Caenorhabditis elegans: one gene and its partner. The protein of the gene in region 1 interacts with the protein of each later gene in a pairwise test. Each region holds a gene or a part of one and is shown in the gene's direction. Other genes may lie near its edges.

Region 1 (6,916 bases):
ACCAAAATTGCTGTCTGCTTACGTGCCTACAAAGTGTACCTCGCCTTTATAATAACCGAAGACTTATTTGTCGTAGAGAAGATTTATTTGAGCGGAGCCACATTGCACCGGATGCCTTTTTCGTGGAAGGCATACAGTTTTGGCATTTGGGTGCAACTTTCTGACAATTTTTGCCCCTGAGAAACGTGCGCAATCTACTTCCTTCTAAAAACTAACCAAATTGTTTTAACAGCTTTCATGAAGTTTCCCCTAAATGCTATCCCTTTTATCTGAAATTCATAATTGGCTCAGCTTTACCAGCTTTCCAAATATTTCTGGCTTTGACGCACTTTAAATATATTATTTCATTAAATCCTAAATATAAAGTTCACTAGTTTTGTCAAGAACACATCCAAACAACTCGGTTCCTGTGTACTATTGCATCTTGTGACCTACAAACTAGTCAAGGATCTTTGAATTTTTACCATAAGTACCCTTCAATAATATCTCCCAGCTCCACCAATTCAATCAAGTTCAAGATTTCAAATTGATTGATGTCGACAAATTAATTGAGAGTACAACTCGATCCGCCCTCATCAAATCCTAATCCATCACTCGTAATACATCGACCTTCTTCATCAGATCTTCCCTGTTTTTTGTGCACCACTCATCATTATTATCTCTTTCCACCAGACTCTTCTCTTTCAGTCGACTCTTCGGCTCAACTTTGATCCCTTATTGTGACCCGTTGTGGGGTGTTAAAAAAGTTTATTGATGAGTTATGACAAGTCTTTGTGGTGAGACTGAGAACGATGAGGTGGGGGAGGAAGGTATGAAGGTGGAGCCATTGTGTGCACAAAGTGGTTGCTACTGGTGGTGAGTAAATCAACACCTGATGAGCTGTTCAAAAAACAGAAGCAGAAGAAGAACCAGTCACTTTACTCTTTGCAATGTTTTCAGCTTTGCTTTCTTATTTCTATGATACTAGTATTACGTTAGTTTCGCATTATATTTTTTCAGAATTTTAGCTTGAATTTGTTCACTTATAATTCGCATATCACTACATATAACTTGAAATAGAAATGGAAATAGTTAATAAGATAATGATGGAAAGATCAATTGAATGACTAAAAATAAAACAATTAGAACTTCTGAATGAGTTTAGAGGTAGATTATTGGCTACTGGACCTTCGTAACAGTATCTATTTGTAAATACTTATAGTAGTTTTTGTAATTAGTCTTTACTTATACTAGGGCAATACAAAAATATATTCTGAATCGCTACAGTTTGGATGAAATCTCAATAAAAACTAGGCTCCAATTTTTAACCTTTTCCAAGTGTTCAGAAACTTTATTTCTACAGTTTAGAGTTTACTTATATTTTCCTATTCCACTGCATTAATTTTCTCATAATAGAACATGTGAGTAGATAATTTCTATGTGATTTATGTGATACGTTTGGCATATGTTGTACTTTTTCTCAGTTGCACACTTATCAGCTTGTGACCTGGTGGCACTCAACCCTTGCCGTCTCTCGAGATACATTGTACCGCAATAAAGATTTGAAAAACAATACGACATTAGCAAGAGCTGGTCCAAACTTGTGCAAGGTATGAGTGGCGTTTCTATTGAGAAAACACGGTCTACTGTATTTTAAATATCTTGATAAATGTTATTTGCTCTGTTAGTATAAACTTTACCAATTATGTCATTGCCAACAGCTATATTCAACTACGTCACGAATCCTATGTCTCACTTCTTTGCAACAAAAACCCTTGATCTTTTTAATCACATCTTTAAATGAGAGTTGATCTCATTAAACTACTCATTTGCTCAAGAAAATTCTGCACTCAATGCTGAATTGCTTTGTCCGTGTTTAAGTACCTAATTCCATGATCCAGACACATCTTATCTCATTCCGAACATTCCCGAACTTTCGTGTCATCCTTCACTTCACTTTGTCACTTCTCAAAAAGTTGTCGTTTCTTCTTGCTTGTCGACCCAAAAAATCATCGAGATTTTTGCAGGAATGCTGAGTCCTGCATTGCTCAAAGTGTCACTCAATCGAAGGTTCGTCAATGATTTTTTGTAGCTGCACTCATTGTTTGTTTTATGTTTCAATCTTTGTGTTTTCAGAAGCTCCGCTCCTGTACCACAAGATGAGGTGAGCCAATTGGTATTGAAGAAGGATAGAACTCTGATCAAATGGAAAAAAGAGGAAGAAGGGGAGGGGGTTAAGATGGATAAGATGGAAATGCTGGAGGGAAGAAGAAGATGGAAGGTTTCATTGGCGGGTACCTTTGAGAACCATTCCCGTGCTTTGGTCACTTGTCCTGATTTTTTCTTCACTACAACCTGATTTTATGGAGCTATATTCTCAAACAGAAGTTGATAGATAAAGTGTATCACCATTCCGTTTAAAAACTGTATTTGTAAAAGATTTATGTCTCAGTTCCTTAACATTTTTGGTAGTAGTCCTCGAACCTCGAAGCTACAAATAATAATTTGCTCTATTTATATGATACTTCCACTTCAAAACATTCATATTTTAACATAATATATTTATTTCAGAAAATGATGTTCCATTCGCGAAACCGGGCTGCATCATATTTGCAGCCGATGATAGAAGATCAGGAATTGATTGGATTCAACAGAGATAGAAGTGAGTTCATAATTTCTTTTTGCCTCTCTCCCGATTCTCGTAAAAAATGAGAATAAACAGCAAAATGTGTAGTAAAGGTTGAATAACGTGTGAATACCACGATGGCAGCTTCAATGTTCTTCTTTTAAAATAAGTTATTAACTTTATAAAAAAAACCAGAGAACAATTCAGATTGATTCTCAGAAAAAAAAGAATACTTCCGTCTATTTCTAAGTTGTCATAACTATCTTTATCAGGAAGAAGTTCCGGCTCAATAATCGTCGACAGTTTTGAACTCGGAAATGCTTCGCCAAGTCGCCGCGGTTCAATTGCATCTGGCATTCCAATGGACAAAAAAACCCGACGGAAGCTGTCAAATCCGGTAGGTTTTCTATGTTGTTAGCTCCCATCAACAATTGGAAAAACAAAATGAAAGATAAAATGATAAATGCGTTCGAGCATGATACCAATCTGATGAAAAGAAGAAACAATCTATCTCATATTGAGTCGGCATACCAACTGACGTTGGAGTCTCTACTTTTTTGATTTAAACGAAAAAAAGAAAGAAAAGATATCTGAGAGCCGATGATGGTCGTCTTTGATTCACTATTCATCAGATGATCCACTGACGAACATTTTCTCACCTTTCCCTGAGATGTGCCAGCCTATCAGTTTCATTTTTACCGAGTTACCGACCTTTTTTTTTCGTAATTTTTAGTTGCTTTTCGGGGATTTTTTTGACTACGAAATTTTCTCAGTAATTTTTTATTTTTCTTCCTTTGAAGAAAACATTTTGCTCGATTTCCATTGTTGCTCGAGGTTATTCACAGTTTTCTGAATGTGAAAAATTATGAGAAAACGCGGCTCCCATTCTTTCAGACTTTCTCTCAAACCTTCAGTATTTTGAAACATTTCAAAAACTCGCAGAGCATTCGTATTATGGTAACTTGTCCAGGCGACCGGCAGTTAGTTTCATATTCGTCCAATCTTTCCAATCTAGTTTCAGCCGAAAACCACTGCTTTCCCAAGTATACATATATTTAAAAAATAAGAAAAGAGAACTAACTATTAACAGAAAAAGAACGGGTAACTGAATATCCTTCTGCATTTAGTTTGATGTATCCTTCAAAAAGATAAGGAACAAAAAGTGACCAGCACATACATATATCGGATGTCTCGTTTGCAACTTTTGGCCTCCCATCCCATTTCCTGTCACCTCGTGACCTCATCGTTAGATCGAAAACCATTTGAGTGCAGTCAATGTTTTTGACACACTTCAGATACTCGCCATAAATCTTTTGAATCTTACTTCTCCATTCAATCTTTTCGGCTCTATTTCTTCATTTGTTTCTTTCTTATCAATTGTTCACACAGCCTGAAAATGTTCTCCAAGTCGAGCAATCGGTTCGGAACAACTTCTATATTTGGGGATCAGTCTATTAAAGATGAATACCGTAACCGACAGAGACGTCTTTCTCTGATTGGTGGACCTATAAGTGGAACATCTCCAAATCGACGAGAATCACTTGTTCGAGAGTTAAGAACTGTAAGTTCAAAGAGTCTTTAGTCGCCAGCTGTTGTCAGTTCAAGCTTGTTAACAACAAATTACATGGGGGGCCAACATTTGTCAAAAAATTGCTTCCATTTTGTTATTAGTACGAACAGAAATTGAAAAAAAGAAGTAAAAAACTTGAGTCTCAATTTCCTGATTTATTTAGTTCTACCACTAATACTTCAATGTATTTCCTAAGGATACACAGAAAATCTCAAGATTCTATAAAAAGTTGGTATTCAGAGACTAAAATTCATAAAAGACCGGTACGTTTTTTGCATGCCGTTTGGCCCAGTTTGTGTTTTAAACCCTATGTATAGCAATGTTTATTTTTAATGCTATATTTTCACAGTATAATAATTTGAAAATTTTAATTGTATTGTTATATCCGGTCAAAGGTTGACAACAGCCACACAAGCCATGTGTTTAATGTCGTTAACAACAAGATGAATGGGAAATTAATTGCTCCGCAAGCTTCTCCTTCAGAACAATACATTTATTTTCAGGTATCTCTTCATCAATACACAGAAGATCCAACACTTGCATGGGAAATGCTGAAAGAAAAAAGACCAGTGAAACCAGTTCGTCAGATGAGACTTGATACTCCAGTAAAACCAGATCATGTGAGATTTGTATGTATTGGATGTACACATGGAGAACAATTTGATATATCAAAACTCCCACCTGGAGATGTTCTCCTCGTGGCTGGAGACTTCACATCATGCGGTCTTCCAAATGAAGTTCACAATTTTAATAAGTTACTTGGAAAACTGAAATACTCTTACAAAGTGGTGATAGGTGGAAATCACGAATGCACATTTGACGACACATTTTTGAAATTGAGTAAGTTCAACTCCAATAAACCATTAACGATCAATCACCACAACAAAATTTGCAGAACAAGAGTCTGAACCAAAAGAAATGGCACTGAAACAAGCATTGTTATCAGCAATTCATTCTGATTCAAAGGGTGGAATTTCAGCGAAAGTAAGCATGATTTCAATTTATGAAAGTATACAATTTTTTGTAGGATTTGTTATCAAATGCAATTTATTTGGAGGATAATGTAATCGAACTGTTTGGAATCACAATTTATGGAACGCCATGGTAAGGATTGCAAGTTTTCTGAAAAAATTGTGGTAGATTCAAGTCGAAATTTGAAACAATTGTCACCTTCGACAAGTATTATCATTATATATTTTGTAGATCAATAAAAAATATAAGTTCGAATTGAATATTCTTTCTCACAGCATAATTCTATGAGTTCCATATTGAACCCATTGTATCAAAGCACAATTTCAAAAATTGCAGGCAACCAAAAGTAGACAATTGGGCATTCAATCTCTCTCGTGGACAACAACTATTGGACAAATGGAACCTGATCCCGGCGGGCGTTGACGTGCTTTTAACTCATACACCTCCACTTGGTAAGTTCAAAGTACCACAAATAGTAAAACACAAATTTTGTGCAGGACACGGCGATATGATGAACAATGGACAGAGAATGGGATGTGCCGAGTTGTTGAACACAGTTTTCAAGCGGGTTCGACCAAAGTATCACGTTTTTGGACACATTCATGAGGGCTACGGATGCACAACTGATGGATATACAAAGTTCATTAACTGCTGCATGTGTAATGAAAATTTGGATTTAAAGGTGATCATTCGTGAATTTTGACTTATTGAGAAAAATTGGGCATGACTCTGGGACGACTTTATTCAAGCAGCACACAAATTTAGACTATCCATGATTATTAAATTTGACAATTTCATCGTTAAAAATTTTCAGAACGAGCCAGTAATATTCGATATCCCAGTGCACCCTCACACCAAACAATTCTACATTCAAAATGTGAAGAAAATTCATAAAAGATTCCAAAAGAAGAAATAAATTAAATTCCTCTCACTGTCACCTCTGTGTCATTTTGTAGTTATAATTATACCACCACTTTTTAATTTTTTTTGCTCTTTTTCCACACCACGACCATCATCATCTATTTTTCTCACTCATTGAGCCCTCCTCCAACCCCATAAGAACAAAATAATATCCCATCCGGAAATGAGTCTTTATGAACTCGATGCGCAGTCAACAGCACCACAAAAAGAGCAAGAGAAGGTTGATTGTGCTTCTGCTGCGACAGCTTCTGCAACTGCTTCTTCTCGTCTTCCAATTCTTCTTCTTTCACCAAAATTGCTCCCGCTAACCAGCAATAAAACATTCCAATTTGTGAGCCTCTTTCGAGTCAAACATTATGAAATTCAATACCAAATTATGCTGCAACCTCCTCTTTTGCCCTCTGAAATCAGATATTGGCCATGTGTGGTGCGGTTCCGGCAGTGCCGGCTTCTTGCTCCACACAGACAAATCTCTTTTGTTATTCATCGATGTCTTTTCTCAGAGATATCATCAACATTAGACTTTTTTCGATTTTACTGAAATTCATTATTTCTAGACCAGAAATATCTGAAACAGGGTGAAATCTAGTCAGAATGATTTCCACCCAGAGTTGTTTCATATAGTCTGTAATTTTTTAGATACAATATTTTTCTTACGTCAGACAGTATCCACCGTGTCAGTTGAGAATACACATAGGTTTTAGTTTTAAATCACCACAAAAGCTAACAAGCGCCACATTCAGTTGCACGTAGAAATTAATCTCTGACCTAGAATATATGATAGAATAGAAAAAGGAACCAATCCATTAGGAATAATGAAAATTCTTTGGCAATTTTTTCCGAAATGA
Region 2 (6,447 bases), on another chromosome or scaffold:
TCCAACTTTTACACGAGTTTTTCAAGTAATTTTTATAAAATGTTCAAAGTACTAATCAATTAGCCCAAAACTAAATTGTCAGCTGTTAAAAAATTTCAACAATTCAACGATTCATAGAAGACATTTCTTTGGAAATTCATGACAACTAGGGAATGTGTGAATGCTTCATCGGAACTCGGTTTATTATTTGCGTAGCACGACAGAAATAATGGTTTTGCGAACAATGAATTTGCTTTTTAAAAAGAGAGAAAAAGAAAAGCAGCAGTGCTTCATTCACACCGATTATGAGACAAAATTCGATTGATCGATGAACAAAAAAGGAATGATAAAAAAGAAACAGTGAAGAGCAGACAATAAAAAGCACAAAAAACCGAATTGCTGGAGAGAATTGAAAACTTTGACACTGAAGTTGTTGCTTTTCGACCTTTGGGACCTCTTCGATGTTGACAGACTTCAATAAATTTTTGCGTAGAGTTGTCTTTTTTTAGGAGGCTGAATATTTTACGAGGTTTTGTTTTGTTTTTAAGTCATAGAATATTCTTTATTGAATTTCAAATGTGAAACTAAAAGGTAGGTAGAAATTCTATATACATAATTCTCATATTTTTTGTGAGAAAAATTACTAACATTTACAGACATAAATTTTGGTGCACCTCTTCTTATAACTTTAGGGGCAGTATATATATTTTTGAAAATATCAAAAAAGTATCTAAAACGAAAAATGTGGGAAATATTTTGGTTAGTTATCAAAAGAATTTATTTACTTTTTTCAAATTGTTATAATCTTACAGTTTTTTTTTGTAGAAAAACAATTTAAAATTTACGAAGTTTTGTTTTAAAAATTCTTACTGTCGAAACTTATTGCAAAATTTTTTTATTTGAATAAAAAAGCATTCAGATATTATTCAACAAAAAATTGTTTTGGGATATGTGTTAGAGCAAAAATCCAAAATATACTTTGTGTGTATGTTCACAGTGGGTTTTTTTAAAGCGAATTATTGTTTCTAAAAAATAAATAAAAACGCACAAAGAATGAACAATTCTTTGCAGTCAACTAAAAACATAGAAAAAAGAATTACTGTTGATCAAATTAAACAATCGAATGAGAACCATTTTGGTTCGTATTGTTATTAATTATAAATGTTAAATGAAAAAGTTTGGCTAACAACCTTATTCAACTTTTCATTTTATGCCAACTATCTGAAGTTTAACCCATTTTCTGATCCTTGTCTCGATAGATGTCACTTTATTGGTCTACTGCATTTCTGAAAATTTAATCCGAGTTGTTGTCTTTTTCACAGACCGCCATTTACATTTTCAGATTTTTTTCAGGAAAAAAAATAACTGTAATCGAAAAAACTGATCCCCGATTAATGATGTCTCTTCATACATTCCGTTGTCTTATCTGCCATTCAATTTGGATTTGCAAAAATTCTCGAATACGTCAGATAAGATGAACATTTGAACAGATTTTTGTTTACTGACGAAAATATCCCGATAACCGTCTGCAAGGTTTTCAGTAAATAGTTCCGTTTTACATCAGATTACTTTTTACAACTTGCTATCATTCATCGATATAACACGAGAAAATCGAAAAACACTTCCTCTTTCTGCCTTGTTCCCCTGCTTTCTTTTCATCTTTTTCCAATTTTCACCCGTCGCTTCTCATCTATCCCTTCTTACTTTTTTATCACTTTTCCAAACGGTTTTTTGCTGTCTCTACCTATCTACTATCATAAATATCATTTACTTCTCTCTTTTTTTGTATTTCGAGGTCAATTTGACAGAGAAACCCCTAATGGCAGAACACACAGGAGTAATAGACAAAGCAGTAGAGGGAGGAGAGAAGCCAAACGGTTCCTGGTTTGAGTTTTTGGCATCTGCGTTACCGTACTACGTGCTATCAGAGTATTACACCTTGGCAAGTATAAAAGGGATGACTCGACAATGGTCAAATCACTTGACTACTCGGTCCTGTCCATTTAGTCATTGTAAGTTTTACTTCAAACCTTTTTTCTTTGAATCTTCTGAAATTTCTCCTTTTTTAGATGTCGTCTGAGGATCCAAAACAAATAGCTTATGAGACTGAGTCTCTCCGCAAGGTTGCATTCTTCGGAATTGCAGTCTCAACCATTGCTACGTTGACCGCTATTGTTGCCGTTCCAATGCTCTACAACTACATGCAACACGTTCAATCTTCCCTTCAATCCGAGGTCGAATTCTGTGCCCACAGATCAAACGGACTCTGGGATGAGTACCAAAGAGTGAGCTAATATTACTATGAAATTGAATCCAAACTTTCCTATTTTCAGTTCGAGGGAGTCAGCGGAGTTGCTGGACGCATCAAGCGTGAATCTTACCACCGCAGAGCCTCTGGACCACACAGAGCTTCCAAGGTCCGCAGACAATCTTACGGAGCTGACGCCGCTGTCGGAGGATTTGGAGGATCCGCCGGAGGATCATGCTGCTCATGCGGAACCGGAGCTGCTGGACCAGCTGGATCCCCAGGACAAGACGGAGCTCCAGGAAACGACGGAGCCCCAGGAGCCCCAGGAAACCCAGGACAAGATGCCTCTGAGGACCAAACCGCTGGACCAGACAGCTTCTGCTTCGACTGCCCAGCTGGACCACCAGGACCATCAGGAGCCCCAGGACAAAAGGGACCTTCAGGAGCCCCAGGAGCCCCAGGACAATCCGGAGGAGCTTCCCTTCCAGGACCACCAGGACCAGCCGGACCACCAGGACCATCTGGACAACCAGGATCCAACGGAAACGCCGGAGCCCCAGGAGCCCCAGGACAAGTCGTCGATGTTCCAGGAACCCCAGGACCAGCTGGACCACCAGGACCACCAGGACCAGCCGGAGCCCCAGGACAGCCAGGACAATCTGGATCCGCTCAACCAGGAGGCCCAGGACCACAAGGAGATGCCGGAGCTCCAGGAGCCCCAGGACAACCAGGACAAGCTGGAGCCCCAGGACAAGACGGAGACAGCGGATCCGAGGGAGCTTGCGATCACTGCCCACCACCACGTACCGCCCCAGGATATTAAATGTATCCGAATTGATTATGACATCATTTCTCTCACTTCCATTATCTTGCTTTATTTCTTCACAAATCCAATTGTGAACACTAGCACCCTGTAGAAATAAAAACTGCATCATCCAATTTTTGTCTTATGTTAACAAAAAACCAACGGCTGAAAAAAGTTACAATAAGGTGTTTCCGTACACACTCGAGAGTCTGTTGTTCTTCGCATTAAGGAGAAACTTTCATTCAAGGTCATCAAGATCCAAGTGGTCTACTTACAGTGTTGCCCTTTTATTGTTTTCGGTAATTGGACAACGGAAACCCCTTCTAAGCAGTAAACAGGAAGTTTAATATTGTTTGACAAGTGATTCGAAGGTTTCGAGAACATAACAAAAAGTTTTTCAAAGGTAAAACATGTAATCGTTTTAACGAGACCGTATTAGCTTTGATTCTTGAGATTCTCGTACATTTGCCTCTATACAATTTACAGGGTTACTGGGAAAAGACTCTAAAATCTTTTGCGTATGTGAAATTTGCCAAGATATCTGATCTGGTGAATCTTCTACACGAACTTCAAATTGTCACCGGATATTTCTAAAGTTTGTGTTTTCATTATATCCGCCATCTCTAGAAAAGAGATAACGAAGGCAAATCTCATATCTTATCAAAATTGCAATTTTCTTCATTTTCTGATATAAACAAGTCTCAACTTTCATTACTTCAATGCAAACTTATCTTAAACGGGAATTTAGACACATCGGCAGCAACATAATTCTAAACGATTCGGTAAAAGAAATGTCCAGTTTTTTCACAAGGATCTTTGTCAGTTGTTGAAGTGGTGACTCTGGATTCTACCGAGAGTAGAGACAAAACAGATTTATTGAACTAAAGTAATATCCTCAAAAAGTTTTGGAATGCTACATTAATTTTAACAGTTTGATTCGCTTTTTTTTTTCTGCAGAAATTTTTTTTTCGTTAAATTTTTCTGCAGCAATAAAAGGAGCAGATCTAATTCTCTGAAAATTGCAGAGAAAATGTATGAGTGGAAATGTTTCTTTTTCTAATGTTTCTCAAATCGAGTAACTATTTCAACAAACCATACTAACCATCGATGCAAACTTGTTTTTTACTCGTATATATTTTCCAGTAATACCCTTTTGATTTGGTATAAACGTTTTAGAATCACATTATTCATAGGTAGAGTTTTTTTTTTCAATGTGTGTTTAAACTATTAATGAAAATGGCACATAATCATTATCAGTTTTTCATATGTAAACTGGATCCTTATAAAAGTTTTGCAGCGTTTTCATGTGGATGAGGGTCGACTCTTCCTGAAGTAGACATTTTAGCATTTCCATTATTTTGAAAATTAAAATTTGTTAGAGCTCCAAAGCAAACATTCTGAACTACTATGTACATTTCCGGCAGATGTTTTCTATTTTTTCCGTTTTTACACTCAATGACGTTTAGTTTACTTTATTTTTTAGTTTTCAAGTATCAATTTATAATCAACACATAAAATGGCATTGACGTCTGGTTAAAAAAACGACCCCGCAATGAACAATCTTCGGCACGAGCTAGTAATAAACCAGGAAATGAAACGATAATGAAGAAAATAGCTAAAGACGAACGACCTTCTAGATTTTCACATCCGTCCCACTCTACACAAGCAAAGGTATTACACCACAATGGGTATAAATACGGACAGCGTACGCTTTAAGACACTTGACTTCCCGGTCCAGTCTATTCAGAAATTGTAAGTTTTAAGCGATTTCTTTAAACACACAAGATCTTAAATTTTAAGATGTCGTCTGAGGATCCAAAACAAATCGCTTATGAGACTGAGTCTCTCCGCAAGGTTGCATTCTTCGGAATCGCAGTCTCGACCATTGCCACTTTGACCGCTATTGTTGCCGTTCCAATGCTTTACAACTACATGCAACACGTTCAATCTTCCCTTCAATCCGAGGTCGAATTCTGTGCCCACAGATCAAACGGACTCTGGGATGAGTACCAAAGAGTGAGTTGATATTACTATGAAATTGAATCCTAACTTTTCTAATTTCAGTTCGAGGGAGTTAGCGGAGTTGCTGGACGCATCAAGCGCGAGTCTTACCACCGCAAAGCCAGAGCCTCCAAGGTCCGCAGACAATCTTACGGAGCTGACGCCGCAGTCGGAGGATTCGGAGGATCCGCCGGAGGATCATGCTGCTCATGCGGAACCGGAGCTGCTGGACCAGCTGGATCCCCAGGACAAGATGGAGCCCCAGGAAACGACGGAGCCCCAGGAGCTCCAGGAAACCCAGGACAAGATGCCTCTGAGGACCAAACCGCTGGACCAGACAGCTTCTGCTTCGACTGCCCAGCTGGACCACCAGGGCCATCAGGAGCCCCAGGACAAAAGGGACCTTCAGGAGCCCCAGGAGTCCCAGGACAAACCGGAGGAGCTTCCCTTCCAGGACCACCAGGACCAGCCGGACCACCAGGACCATCTGGACAACCAGGATCCAACGGAAACGCCGGAGCCCCAGGAGCCCCAGGACAAGTCGTCGATGTTCCAGGCACCCCAGGACCAGCTGGACCACCAGGACCACCAGGACCAGCCGGAGCCCCAGGACAGCCAGGACAATCTGGATCCGGTCAACCAGGAGGTCCAGGACCACAAGGAGATGCCGGAGCTCCAGGAGCCCCAGGACAACCAGGACAAGCTGGAGCCCCAGGACAAGACGGAGACAGCGGATCCGAGGGAGCTTGCGATCACTGCCCACCACCACGTACCGCCCCAGGATATTAAATGTTTTTTTTTTGTTTTTTTTATTTCCAACATCTTGCTTTATCCATTTTTGCAAAGTCATCCTGATAGATTAGAATGAACATGACAATCTGCAATTTGAACATAAAAACAATACAATCGTAACACAAAGTCAACGAAAGTGTAATGAACGTCATTGGATCAAGCGTTCCAAAAAAAATTATGATGCAGATTACACTAAACACGAAACTAAAGTTGTATTATTGACATTTGTTCGTAGAAAAAACGTCAAGACATTCTCATTTTAATCATTATAAAAGGCAATAACGTGCTCAGGCGCGAAAATGTTGATTTCCAGCTGCTTTTTCATCTCTCACGAAATCAACTTTTAGTTAGTTTTCTAATACTTACTGAACTCACTTTTTAATCGATTAATCTTTTGAAATGCTTTCGATTGTTCTTTTGTTTGTTTTTGGAATATTAGCAAATGCTCATCTGCAATCTTCTGATGGAGTTTCACCTCCTAAAAGTTCACCGCTTGAAGAGGTAATTTTTTATTTATTGGAAAATAGGTATAACTAGTAAACTTCAGGTCGATGCAGAGATTCCTCCTGAAGATAAGAATTTTTTGTATTATTTTATTATTGCAACGTTCACAGCCTCGACA

The links. Proteins that work in one complex are often made in the same cells at the same time.
Region 2: the proteins of T07D4.2 (region 1) and col-159 interact in a two-hybrid assay, tested with the Caenorhabditis elegans proteins (one large-scale study listed by BioGRID).

Annotation. Positions count from the first base shown.
Region 1 is NC_003280.10:8,869,033-8,875,948, reverse strand, and holds T07D4.2 (UPF0046 protein T07D4.2), read left to right. Parts: upstream 1-2,006; 5' UTR 2,007-2,008; coding exon 2,009-2,049; intron 2,050-2,115; coding exon 2,116-2,143; intron 2,144-2,550; coding exon 2,551-2,641; intron 2,642-2,877; coding exon 2,878-3,002; intron 3,003-3,994; exon of another isoform or gene 3,995-4,001; coding exon of another isoform or gene 4,002-4,166; intron 4,167-4,678; coding exon 4,679-5,015; intron 5,016-5,070; coding exon 5,071-5,159; intron 5,160-5,202; coding exon 5,203-5,279; intron 5,280-5,483; coding exon 5,484-5,599; intron 5,600-5,644; coding exon 5,645-5,829; intron 5,830-5,961; coding exon 5,962-6,063; 3' UTR 6,064-6,400; downstream 6,401-6,916.
Region 2 is NC_003283.11:13,197,701-13,204,147, reverse strand, and holds col-159 (Nematode cuticle collagen N-terminal domain-containing protein), read left to right. Parts: upstream 1-1,970; 5' UTR 1,971-1,991; intron 1,992-2,048; coding exon of another isoform or gene 2,049-2,264; intron 2,265-2,312; coding exon of another isoform or gene 2,313-3,050; exon of another isoform or gene 3,051-3,164; intron 3,165-4,601; exon of another isoform or gene 4,602-4,750; intron 4,751-4,832; coding exon 4,833-5,048; intron 5,049-5,096; coding exon 5,097-5,822; 3' UTR 5,823-5,917; downstream 5,918-6,447. Other genes in the region: col-160 (Nematode cuticle collagen N-terminal domain-containing protein), read left to right, coding at 2,049-2,264, 2,313-3,050; F57B1.9 (G-protein coupled receptors family 1 profile domain-containing protein), read left to right, coding at 6,225-6,326, 6,373-6,447.